3 linked regions of the Sus scrofa genome follow. The protein of the gene in region 1 binds, or shares a complex with, the protein of each later gene. Links are inferred from orthologs where the notes say so. Each region holds a gene or a part of one and is shown on either strand. Other genes may lie near its edges. The genes, in order: RGS7, GNB5 and GPR158.

Evidence for each region.
Region 2: the proteins of RGS7 (region 1) and GNB5 are in contact, whole or in part, in a cryo-EM structure (PDB 7EWP), measured with the Homo sapiens proteins. The link is inferred for Sus scrofa from reciprocal best matches to the Homo sapiens genes RGS7 and GNB5. Residues at the interface, in NP_001351815.1 of Homo sapiens: Pro19, Leu22, Val23, Lys26, Val30, Ile72, Val76, Glu77, His80, Leu81, Leu84, His88, Val207, Asp213, Ile214, Lys215, Lys216, Leu258, Gln261, Ile262, Trp265, Gln266, Gln268, Leu269, Arg271, His272, Arg273, Leu274, Lys275, Met276; in NP_057278.2 of Homo sapiens: Leu57, Glu60, Ala61, Glu62, Leu64, Lys65, Leu68, Glu71, Lys74, Leu75, His76, Asp77, Val78, Glu79, Leu80, Val83, Leu90, Phe93, Arg98, Arg99, Leu109, Lys117, Arg118, Ser134, Phe135, Trp149, Met151, Leu167, Tyr197, Ser206.
Region 3: the proteins of RGS7 (region 1) and GPR158 are in contact, whole or in part, in a cryo-EM structure (PDB 7SHF), measured with the Homo sapiens proteins. The link is inferred for Sus scrofa from reciprocal best matches to the Homo sapiens genes RGS7 and GPR158. Residues at the interface, in NP_001351815.1 of Homo sapiens: Gln35, Ile43, Ser55, Arg109, Phe110, Thr112, Pro113, Tyr114, Phe115, Lys134, Thr136, Lys140, Ala141, Arg142, Leu143, Leu145, Ala146, Asp147, Ala150, Leu153, Gln157, Trp164, Phe168, Met169, Gln170, Glu172, Ala173, Gln174, Lys176, Val177; in NP_065803.2 of Homo sapiens: Leu507, Lys508, Phe510, Leu511, Arg513, Thr514, Tyr595, Tyr598, Ala599, Thr602, Val603, Pro604, Ile714, Arg715, Leu718, Lys719, Tyr722, Leu725, Glu726, Tyr728, Lys729, Arg730, Met733, Ile734, Thr735, Asn736, Asn737.

Annotation. Positions count from the first base shown.
Region 1 is NC_010452.4:11,979,197-11,982,842, reverse strand, and holds part of RGS7 (regulator of G-protein signaling 7), read left to right. Parts: intron 1-623; coding exon 624-722; intron 723-2,235; coding exon 2,236-2,297; intron 2,298-3,278; coding exon 3,279-3,389; intron 3,390-3,646. UniProt on the Homo sapiens protein: GTPase activator component of the RGS7-GNB5 complex that regulates G protein-coupled receptor signaling cascades.
Region 2 is NC_010443.5:119,555,282-119,558,927, forward strand, and holds part of GNB5 (guanine nucleotide-binding protein subunit beta-5), read left to right. Parts: intron 1-3,163; coding exon 3,164-3,300; intron 3,301-3,646. UniProt on the Homo sapiens protein: Enhances GTPase-activating protein (GAP) activity of regulator of G protein signaling (RGS) proteins, such as RGS7 and RGS9, hence involved in the termination of the signaling initiated by the G protein coupled receptors (GPCRs) by accelerating the GTP hydrolysis on the G-alpha subunits, thereby promoting their inactivation.
Region 3 is NC_010452.4:50,199,920-50,203,995, reverse strand, and holds the start of GPR158 (probable G-protein coupled receptor 158), read left to right. Parts: upstream 1-1,247; 5' UTR 1,248-2,111; coding exon 2,112-3,013; intron 3,014-4,076. UniProt on the Homo sapiens protein: Metabotropic receptor for glycine that controls synapse formation and function in the brain. Acts as an atypical G-protein coupled receptor that recruits and regulates the RGS7-GNB5 complex instead of activating G proteins.

The sequences.
Region 1 (3,646 bases):
GGCATTGCCGTGAGCTGCGGTGTAGGTTGCAGAGCCGGCTCGGATCCTGAGTTGCTGTGGCTGTGGCGTAGGCCAGCGGCTACAGCTCTGATGAGACCCCTAGCCTGGGAACCTCCATATGCCACAGGAGCAGCCCAAGAAATGGCAAAAAAGACAAAAAAAAAAAGAAGAGGTGGCATCCAAGTGAAAACGAGTCGGAACCAAAGCACATTTGAACTTGGAGCTACTGTAAGGTTGGCCATGGACCCGATGATTCTATATCCACCTCTGTCTTACTTTGAAATCCATACTTCTTAGATGTTATATTGTGTTGTCCTTCCCCAATTTAGTGCTATCAGCCCACCTTTGTATTTTATCACACTTACCCAGTTCTTTCCATGTCATCAATTATTCTGTCAGTTAATAATCTAACCACATATTTTTTCCAAAACCTGTGCTTCTATTTGACATGCATATGGCATTTATGATAGCAGTGCCTTTTGAGTTTTGATAAGAAGCTTCGTCCAATATGCAGCAAAGCATGGAGCTACTTTCCTGAATATATAACATGAAGTTATCTTTTAGAAAATCTATGACTCTAATGCTATTTTATCCTAACATATTTCTTTTTTATTTTAATATAGTCTGTCTATGGTTTACAAAATGATATTAGAAGTCACAGTCCTACCCACACACCCACACCGGAAAGTAAACCTGCAACAGAAGATGAGTTACAACAACAGGTGGGTCAACTGTATGATGGTTAATAGAGTAGCAGGTATGAGAACCAGATGGGCAATGTTAATAGCATGTATTTTTTAAGTGATTAGTGTGAATGACCATTTCACATAGAAGATTTGCAGTTAAAAGGTAATTTTAAGGTATGTTGTCACTTGAAAATGTATCAATATACGGAAATTGTTTTCAAAACTCTTCACTCTTCCCCAAATTCTTTTTCCTTTAACCTTTTTGTTAGTTTGTTTTTTGTTTGTCTGTTTGTTTTAGGACTACACCTGCAGCGCATGGAATTTCTCAGCCTAGGGGTTGAATTGGAGCTGCAGCTCCTGGCCTACACCTCAGCCAAGGCAATGCCGGATCTAAGCTATATCTGTGACCTACACCAGAGCTCATGGCAACACCAGAGCCTTAACCCACTGAGTGAGACCAGGGATCGAACCTGCATCCTCATGGCTACTAGTGGGGTTGGTTACCACTGAGCCATGATGGGAACTCCCCTCTAATCTTTTTTTTTCTAAATCACACACACACACACACACACACACACACGGATTTATAGGTGTCTCCATTACTAAGAGTTTATTTTGTTCTGATGAACTCTGTCTTAACGAATGAGAAGACAAGAGGTTGGGGACATGAGGTCATGTATTTTCCGCCCCTAATCATGAGGCATGACCTTCACAAAAGAGTGCTTACTGTTTTTTCTGCAGTGCCGGTCTCTATATGCCTCTTGAATAGTGCTAAGCCTTATTAGCACTGATGACCGGTCTCATTATGTATTGCTTCTTGTTTCATCCATTGATCAATAGCTTCAACTCCAAGTAATATTTCAAAGCAAACACCGAGTGTCTCATATCAAGGAATAGTTAAATCTCTTTGTTAGTTAAAACATGGGACTTTTTCCCCTTTCCTTCTTTCCCCTTAATATTTTATTGTAGGAGGGTTTATCAGTTGTGTAATATATACTTTTTCTAGTATATTTATAATCACAGTGAGGAAAAAATAATGCAGAGAGTTTTAAATTTTCCATGTGCAATATGTCCATGTGAGAATTTGTCCTGAAAAGTTCATAAAATCATCCTTAAAACAACTATCATTGATCCTTTATAGGGTTAGTGTTAGGAAGCAGGTTTATTTTGACATTATAGTAACAAATAGCAGATACAGTTATTTCCTGAATTGAATGTTTGAGGAAGAAATGTGCTTCTGATTTGGTTACTCACTATGAATAAATGCTTAAAATTTCTATAGCACTTAAAGTTACCTTTCGTTAAAGCTGTCAGAATGTTCAAATCATTGCTCTTCCAAAGCAATATTGATTATATTTACATTCAAACAGATTTTTATTTTTATTAACTCTTTCCAAGCCCTCATGTTTGACTTTTTTCTACAGACTTTGAACATTTACCGACTGCAAACATAGTCTTGCTTAGAATTGCCTAGTCTATTAGAATTTGGAGTTGAAAATTGTGAGAATGTCACTACTTATGTAACTACTTCTCCAAATCTTTTTTTCAGATAAAATATTGGCAAATACAGTTAGATAGACATAGGTTAAAAATGTCGAAAGTTGCTGACAGGTAAGTACTTTACGGTACCATATAAATTTTTTAAAAATTCATGTGGCAGTTACATGTGTTTAGAATGGTGGGAGGCGAGCTGGTATAAAGAATTGGAAACCCGTTAAAAATATTATTTTCTTTTTCCTTTTTGAACATAGAAAAATGTCAAAGAGCTCTTTTGTTTGCAGTTTAAATGACACAATGATCATTATTATCTTAAGTCTCTAGAGGTCCAGTGTTTGTGCAACCAGCGTCAAATACAGAAGAGAATTCGAAGGAATTGAGTCTTTTCATTCCTTCTGGGAGAAATGAAGCTTTCAATTTATTAAGTTAGCTTTTTGCAACTTAGAGGCTCTCTATAAATTCATCTGAACGTTCACACTGGCCAGTTATTTGATGACGTTAGAATCTGAATTAAACTCAGACTTTGCGTATTTTCCTTTTCTTCATTGAATTGTGTTCTCAAGGCATTCGTATTCTTTACCTGGGAGCCTTGTTCAGTCCTACATCTCCAGCCTTTTTCCTCTCTTTCCCTTGACTTTTTTAAAATGTAGATTTTTTTTCAAAATGTTTTTGTCAGTGATTCCCCATTTACCTAATTTCTGTAAGTATTTTTGACAAAATTTCCTTTTAACCTCTTCTCCAGGTTAAACTAAAATCAGTTCTGCTGTGGGTGGGCTGATGGATCAAGGACTGGACTTAACCTTGGCGCTTCCTCTTATGCGCTGACTTCCGTGTGGCTTCGTAGTCATGGAGGGATATTGACTCTATGGCTTAGCCGGGGGAGCAGTGGAGTCCTTAGCCATTCTGGTCCTCTAAGAAGTGCAGTAAGCTGATGCACAAAAGCTACTGAAAAGTGAAAACTGCCATTGCATTAAATCCTATAAGCAAGCAGGGATTCCTTCGCCAAGCATTTTTATACAGTGTCCCTTAAAGACTAGACAGAACATCAGGCAGAAAACTAAGAAAAGTGAAATGTTTTTCTTCTTCTCTCTCAAGTCTGCTAAGTTACACGGAACAGTATGTAGAATATGACCCATTTCTTGTGCCCCCTGACCCTTCTAACCCGTGGCTGTCCGATGATACTACCTTCTGGGAACTTGAAGCAAGGTAAGTGAAATAAATGTTCTCTCCTTTCAAATATTGTATTCATTTCAGGTTGGGGCAAAATAGGAAGAATCCTACAGTGACAAATTGTAAAGGTAATTTTACTCTGTGTCTATGTTAACCACGAGATAAAGTTCCTGTTCAAGGCTACGGTTTTTGACACTTAAATATTTGCATTCATATTAAGATTTGCCTCTCCAGAAAGACTGGCACAAAATTAGAGGCGCAAATGTTTCTTTTTGGTTGTTGTTCTATTGAAG
Region 2 (3,646 bases), on another chromosome or scaffold:
AGTATGTTTTTAAATTTGATTCAATATGTTTTTGTGAAGAACATATCTGTAAAAGAAATGTGCTATTTGTGGCAATAAAGAACACAGTGTTTTAGCAGAAGCAATGGTATAATAATTGCACATTCATGTAGCACATAGAGTTTAGCAAGTACTTTTTTACAGCTTGGGTTTCCACAAATACTTTTATCCTGTTTACTCATTTGTTCTTTTATCACAAAGAAATGGGGCAAGTAGGGAGTTCCTGTTGTGGTGCAATGGAAATGACCAGTAGCCACGAGGACGCAAGTTTGGTCCCTGGCCTCACTCAGTGGATTAGGGATCCGGCATTGATGTAGCTGTGGTGTAGGTCACAGATGCAGCTCAGATCCTGTGTTGCCGTGGCTATGGTGTAGGCCAGCAGCCATAGCTCTGATTCAACCCCTCGCCTGGGAACTTCCATGCTGTGGGTGTGGTCCTAAAAAGCAACCCCCCCCCACACACACACACACAAAGAAACTGAGACTTCTTGGAGAAGTGGCTGCTTCCAGGGCTAGGGCAGGGAGGGAACATAAGCTCTCAGTAAGAAGTGCTCAAAGGATGATGGGCACGTGTCGGGAGGTCTCAAGAGCCTGCCTGATGGGGCTCCCAACTGAGCAAATCAGCGATGAGTTGGGCATCAAAATAAATAATGGTAAATATTATTTACTTATATTTATAAGTTAATCATAAATTACTATAAGTTATTAGTTATTAATAACTTATAAGTTATTTAAAGTTATTATAGTTATTATAACTTATAAGTTATTTATAACTTCTTGAATAAAGAGAGAATCTGTGATTCCCTACTTATGTAAATGAATGAGTAAATATGTTAGGGAAGAGGGGATATTTCTCTTTATATGAGAAAGCCAACTAAAAACTGCAGAAGGAGTGATGGAGTTAGAACAGTCACCACTTAGGAGGGGTTGACAGAACAGTATAAGCCAAATGTAATAGAAAAAATAAAAACCTAAAAAAAAAATAGTCACGACTTGCCAACTATCATCATTATCGTTTCAGGCAAGAATCAGGAATGGATATTAAAAGTAGGCTATTCAAGATTGAGGAGTAACAAGATACATATGTACTCTCAAAGTACAGCCCCACAAAATACTTTTTCATGACACAAAGCAGAATGGTAACTGTGCAGTGGAGTGCGCTGGCAGGCACCACCTGAACCGAATGATCAGAGTCAACATTGCTAGTGATGGGACTAGCAGACAGCAGGAGCCTCCTGAAAGGACAGGTGTGTGGGGCAGGACCTCAGTACTAGTCTGGTGTTTCTGCCAAACGAGTGTTACCCAAAGATAATCTGAAGGAAGCAGCAGACAAGCCAGGATTGGGGAACAAAATAACTGGAGATGAAAGAAAATGACCACTGAACACAATGTGTCATCTTGGATTTTGTTTTGCTCTAAAGGTATTGTTGGGATGATGGAGGGTGTCTCAACAAGGTCTAGAGACCAGACACAGCATTGTTTCAGTGTCTGCTCTCTGACTTTGATCATTATACTGTGGTTATGGAAGACAGTTCCTTGTTTTTAGAAAACACACACTGAAATGTTTAGAGAGAAGGAAAGGAGGAGGGAAGGGAAGAAGGAAGGAAGGATTTCTGAGAAGGGGCATTATTGTCACAAGGCTTAAAGCACAGAGTCAGCCCCTCAGCCCAGGCTTGAAATGAGAGAGGGAAAGGCAGGGCCGGTGCCTTGCCTCTCTCCACCTTGATGCTCAGCCTGTACCAGGACACCACACCTTTCCTGGGGCTGTCCCCTTGTCTAGAATGTCCCCTTCCGTTTGCCTTAACTCCCAAACAAAGGCCCAGATGAGAGGTTGGTGGAAGAAAGAGCAGAGGTGGGGTTAGGAGCTGGGGCACAGCCTCTAACCTGAGAGAAGGTGGCGCTGCACAGGGGGATCCGCTACCTCAGTTTCCTCACCTGCTCAATGACAAGATGGATTAGTTTCTAGGGGCCTTTCTGCTGCTTGGGGTGAACTTGTTCCCTTCTGAGACTCATTGGTGGAACCTCTCTAAAAGCCCCTTGTAAGTTCTCTCAGCCCCAGGAAAGAGGTTGTGGTCCCAGCCCCCAAGAGAGTGACTTGGGAGAACCTTCCTGCTATAGATACCTTCTGCAGACCACGTGTTCAGACAGGAATGTGGCATTGATCTCTACTGACACTAAGTTTTCAGTAAATCCACAGGATGCTGTTGGGTGGGTCACGCATCTGTTTTTTTCCTGCAGCATGTAGCTGGGGCACCTGCCATGGCCCAAGCCTGTGCCAGGCACAGTGTGTGGGGGGCACAGTGAGCGCACTCAGGACCTGCTGTTGAGCATATGGTTGCTCATCCTGGCATCTGATGGGGCAGTTTCTGTAAAGTCACTTTTTCTTGTAACTGAAAAGAAGTAGGTAAAAAACCCAGAAGCCCCACTTTGCTCCCAGTTAGTTGTATAGACTTGTGTGAGCCCCAGGCTTGTTGCCCATTCAGTGGGAATGACCATCTCATCTACCACCCCGCTCATAGAGCCCTGGGCCTTTGGTGGGAGAATTCTGCATAGAGCTTTACAGATATCAGGCCGTCCTGCCCTTAGTCCCTCAGCATGCATGTATGGAAGTGCTCTGCAAAACATAGTGCCTTTTTCAGAGGGGTTCCCGTTGTGGCACAGTGGTTAACGAATACGACTAGGAACCATGAGGTTGCGGGTTCAATCCTTGGCCTTGCTCAGTGGGTTAAAGGATCCGGCATTGCCATGATCTGCGGTGTAGGTTGCAGACGCAGCTCAGATCCCGCGTTGCTGTGGCTGTGGTGTAGGCCGGCGGCTACAGCTCTGATTCAACCCCTAGCCTGGGAACCTCCATATGCTGCGGGAACAGCCCTAGAAAAGGCAAAAAGACAAACAACAACAACAACAACAAAAAAAAAAAAACCATAGTGCCTTTTTTTTATTGAAGTATAGTTGATATGCAATATCATATAAGTTTTACATTAGGGTCTTAAACACTGAGAGAGTGACAGTATGAACTTGGAAGAGAGAGTGCTGCAAGGACATAGGGTGGCACACAGGAGAATGAAGCAGCGATGTCTCACCTGGGCCAGCTTGTGGCTCAAGACCTGGTCCTTGGCATGGGATTGATGTGCTTGTCCTTCCAGTGCACCAGGTGGCAGAGCGTGTGGAGGCCCTGGGGCAGTTTGTCATGAAGACCAGGAGGACCCTCAAAGGCCACGGGAACAAGGTTCTGTGCATGGACTGGTGCAAGGATAAGAGGAGGATCGTGAGCTCCTCGCAGGTATGGCACACCTGTTGGGTGATGGGGGACACCTTTCTGGTCATAAAGCTGAGGGGAAGGAGCCATCATAAAAAAAAAAAAATTTGGACTTCCTGTTGTAGCTCAGAGGTAACAAACCCAACTAGTATCCACGAAGGCGTGGGAGCGATCCCTGGCCTTGCTCAGTGGGTTAAGGATCTGGCATTGCTGTGAGTTTTGGTTAGGTCTCAGATGCGGCTTGGATCCTGCTTTTCTGTTGCTTTGGCTGTGGTGTAGGCCAGTGGCTACAGCTCTGATTCGACCCCTAGCCTGGGAACTTCCATTTGTCATGGATGCAGCCCTAAAAGACAAAAACAAAAAACAAAAA
Region 3 (4,076 bases), about 38 Mb from region 1:
TGTAATACTATAAAATTTTAAAGAATTGTTCATTTATATAGGTTTTCTAAAAAATAATGAGAAGATTACACTTCAGTCTTTAAGCAATTACATAGAAAATTCTAAAGAATTGCTAATAAGTTATATAGGTTTTCTAAAAATATCACTTAATGAGGAAATTATACTTCAGTCTTTAGATAACAGAAAATCATACTATAGGAGTTACTGTCGTGGCTCAGTGCTTAACGAACCCAACTGGTATCCAAGAGAACTTGGGCTCGATCCCTGGTCTTGCTCAGTGGGTTAAGGATCCGTCATTGCCATAAGCTGTGGTGTAGGTTGCAGGCAAGGCTCGGATCAGGTGTTACTGTGGTGTAGGCTGGCAGCTATGACTCCAATTCGACCCCTAGCCTGGGAACCTCCATATGCCATGGGTGTTGGGAATTGAAGTGAATTTGAGGTTGTCTGTGTCTTTCTTCAGGAGTATGAAAATGGAGGTGCATATGGATAGTGGAGGTGTATAAAACACTACCTATCCAGTACTAATTAGTATTTTCAGAATGAAAATGTCAGAAGACCCTCTTAAAGCTTCAAATAAAGCAATCAGACTGTGTTGAGGATTTTTCCAATCATTTGGTGGTGGTGGCCTGGCATATTTATTCAGCTCTTCTTTCTTCTGCTTGGACATCCTAATCTATAGTTAACCAGATGTCTTAGCTCTCGTATCCATTAATTTTAGGAACTCTCAGTCAGAACGACTTCCTTTCTCTCTCAACACATTCTCACTCATTCTCATTCTCTCAGAGATCAAGTCCCACTCCTGTGCATGTTCTCTCCCTTCCAGGTATTCACTTGCATACACTGTCACAGGTTCCCCTTCATCCTTTTCAAAGGTTCCTGAAATATTTCTTAAAGTTCAGCCAGTAGATGTCTCCATTACTCCCTTCTAGCTAAGACCTCGGCAAGTAGGGTTTAATCATTTCTTTAACCACAACAAGGAGGAGGATTTGTTAATTTGCCTAAAAAGAGCAGATGCTCGGGAGGACACGTTTCCATCCTACGTCCCTCCCCTCAGATTTAAGTAACAAATGAAAACTACTTTCTCCCTCTTTTCCAGGCAAAGAAAAGGCTGCTTTAACGAAGCATGCGAGACGCCAACACCCTCCTCCTCAGTACATCCAAGTTTCCTTCGCTCTGAGCCACCAAAGCTCTGCTTCTCCTTTCACTCCCGCCCACCCCACCCCCACCCACTAAGGTTCCCGAGTCATGAGGAACGCGAGTGGGTGAAAGGACTCAGCGCTGCTGCATCCCGCGCCATCCCGCGCCACCGCCTCCTCTGTGCCGCTCGGGTTCAGCACTGGACAGCTCCCGCCCCAGCCCAACAAATGGCAGCCGGCTGATTGACAGAGGAGCTGGCCAAACGGAGAACAAGACGATTTGAAGCCGCCCTACGAGGGTTTGGTTGCGGCCAAGCTGCTTCTTTAAACCGGCTTTCCTCCCGAGAGCAGTGTGGTTTGTGGCCAAACCTAAAGACTCCAATTAACCAGCTGCCTGGCCCTCTTGGCTCCACAGAGACAAAGATCTTAAGAGAAACCCTCGTTCTCTGGGACTTGCTCTTGCGCTCGCGGTGCGGGTCCGTGTTCGCGCGTTCCGAGCCTCGGGACGAAGCGAACTAGGAGGAGCCAGAGCCGGGAGGCGGGAACGACCTGCCACTGGTGAGATGATGGAGCAGCGTCTTCGGCGGCCGCCGCCGCAGCAGCAGCTCTTGAACACACCTCAATGAGAGCGGCGGTGGAAGCTGCTGAGCTGAAAGACGTAAGCAGGCTAACTATAGCTGCCGGCAGCGAGAGGGGATGTAACCTGTTCGGCTCAAGGCTGCGAGGTGCGTAATCTCGAGCCGACCCCTTGTGGAGCAGGAGCAGCCAGCGTTGCCACAGGTGATTTGATTTCCTGTGACGGTAGCTTAGTCAGCCGGGCATATTTCGGAACATTTATATTTTAAAGTCCCCTTGGACTCGGTGCCAGCTGGAGACGGGAGAAGACCCCTAGTAAAAGTCTTACTGTTGACAGACTGACGACCAAAATTTAAAAAGTGACTCCTCCCGTTACCTCCTCTCCTCTCTGCGGGGCAGATGGGAGCCATGGCTTATCCTTTGCTCTTCTGCCTCCTGCTTGTTCATCTGGGATTGGGAGCTGTTGGCGCCAGCCGCGACCTTCCAGGTCGGCCGGATTCCCCTCGAGAGAGGACCCTGAGGGCAAAGCAGCACGCCCAGCAGCCGGCTCGAGCCTCTGCCTCGGACCCCTCGGCTCCCTGGAGCCGCTCCACCGACGGCACCATCTTGGCGCAGAAACTCGCCGAGGAGGTGCCCATGGACGTGGCCTCTTACCTCTACACCGGGGACTCCCACCAGCTGAAGCGAGCCAACTGCTCCAGCCGCTACGAGTTGGCGGGCCTGCCTGGAAAGTCGCCTGCCCTAGCTAGCTCCCATCCCTCCTTGCACGGGGCGCTGGACACGCTGACACACGCCACCAACTTCCTCAACATGATGCTGCAAAGCAATAAATCGCGGGAGCAGAACTTGCAGGACGACCTGGAGTGGTACCAGGCACTGGTGCGGAGCCTCCTGGAGGGTGAGCCCAGCATCTCCCGGGCGGCCATCACCTTCAGCACCGAGTCGCTGTCCGCGCCGGCCCCGCAGGTCTTTCTCCAGGCCACTCGCGAGGAGAGTCGCATCCTGCTCCAAGACCTATCCTCTTCCGCACACCACCTGGCCAACGCCACGCTAGAGACCGAGTGGTTCCACGGCCTTCGGCGCAAGTGGAGGACTCACTTACACCGCCGCGGTTCCAACCAGGGGCCCCGGGGCCTGGGCCACAGCTGGAGGCGCAGAGACGGGCTTAGCGGGGACAAGAGCCATGTCAAGTGGTCTCCGCCTTATCTGGAGTGCGAGAACGGGAGTTATAAGCCCGGGTGGCTGGTCACTCTCTCTGCTGCTTTCTACGGGTTGCAGCCTAACCTGGTCCCGGAATTCAGGTAGGGAGGAAAAAAGATAAAAGCAAAGTCTTCCTTCCGGTTTCGCGGGTAGGTGGGTGTGTGGGTAAGGAGCACTTGGCTGTGACACTTATGCCCCCAGCCTCAAAGCAGAGACCCAGGCTGAGGGGACACCCCAAGAAGGCACAAGTGCTTAGGGAAAAGCAGCTCCCTGACAGGTTCAGACAATCAGCAAAAGCTTTTCTTTCACATCAGTTCCCCTGCAAGGCATAGGGCATCTCTTGGCAGAGCTGAGAGATGCCCTACGTTTCTATCTAACCCTAGGGAGGGGAGGGAGGTGGAGTTCCCCATCGGGATGATGCACTGAAACCCTGGGAGTGCAGGGTATGTCAGCCAGGCGCAGAGCAGCAAACATCGCTGGAGAGTAGAAAAGGGAGCCGGAAGAAGAGTTCATTGTTCCTGCTACTTCAGGATTGGCTCTGCCTGCTTCTTCCTACGTGTGCAGTTTGGGGCGCCAGTCTGTTGTTACTCAGTTACCAGAGCATGTAATGAAAACAGTTCGATCCCCTCAGTGGTTCTGTCCCCTAGTCTTCGCCTGCATAGCTGTCACCACCATTGAGACTTTGCATCTGGTTGGTGTGCTCCTTCTACTCATCTCCTTCTGTCCCCCAATCTACCTCCCATTCCTGGGTGCCCTCTTTTTCCTGTTTTCTGTGTTAGCACACTTAAGCGTTCTCCAGCCCTTCAAATACACTTTATAAAGGAATTGGGTTGAGTTATCTGAGAGAGGGAGGGATCTCACTGAATTCACTCAGGAAATTTGGAGGAGACTTAAAAACAATTCTGTATTTCCTGCCTCAAGGTATAGCATCTGTGGGAAGATGAGAATTTCCAAATTAGCAGGTCGTTAGCTTGTGCCCTGGGACATATCTGATCTTTGGGGTGAGAAACTTCTGGAAGTAGCCTTTAAGAGTGAATGTGAGGAATACAAGGAAGGAGCAAAAACGCCAAAGAGGGACTGGGAGAGGGCCACAGATTGACTGGGATCCTCCCCAGTTCCCAATGGGAAGAAAGTCTTGGGTTGAGCTTGCTTCTGTTCTCTTTC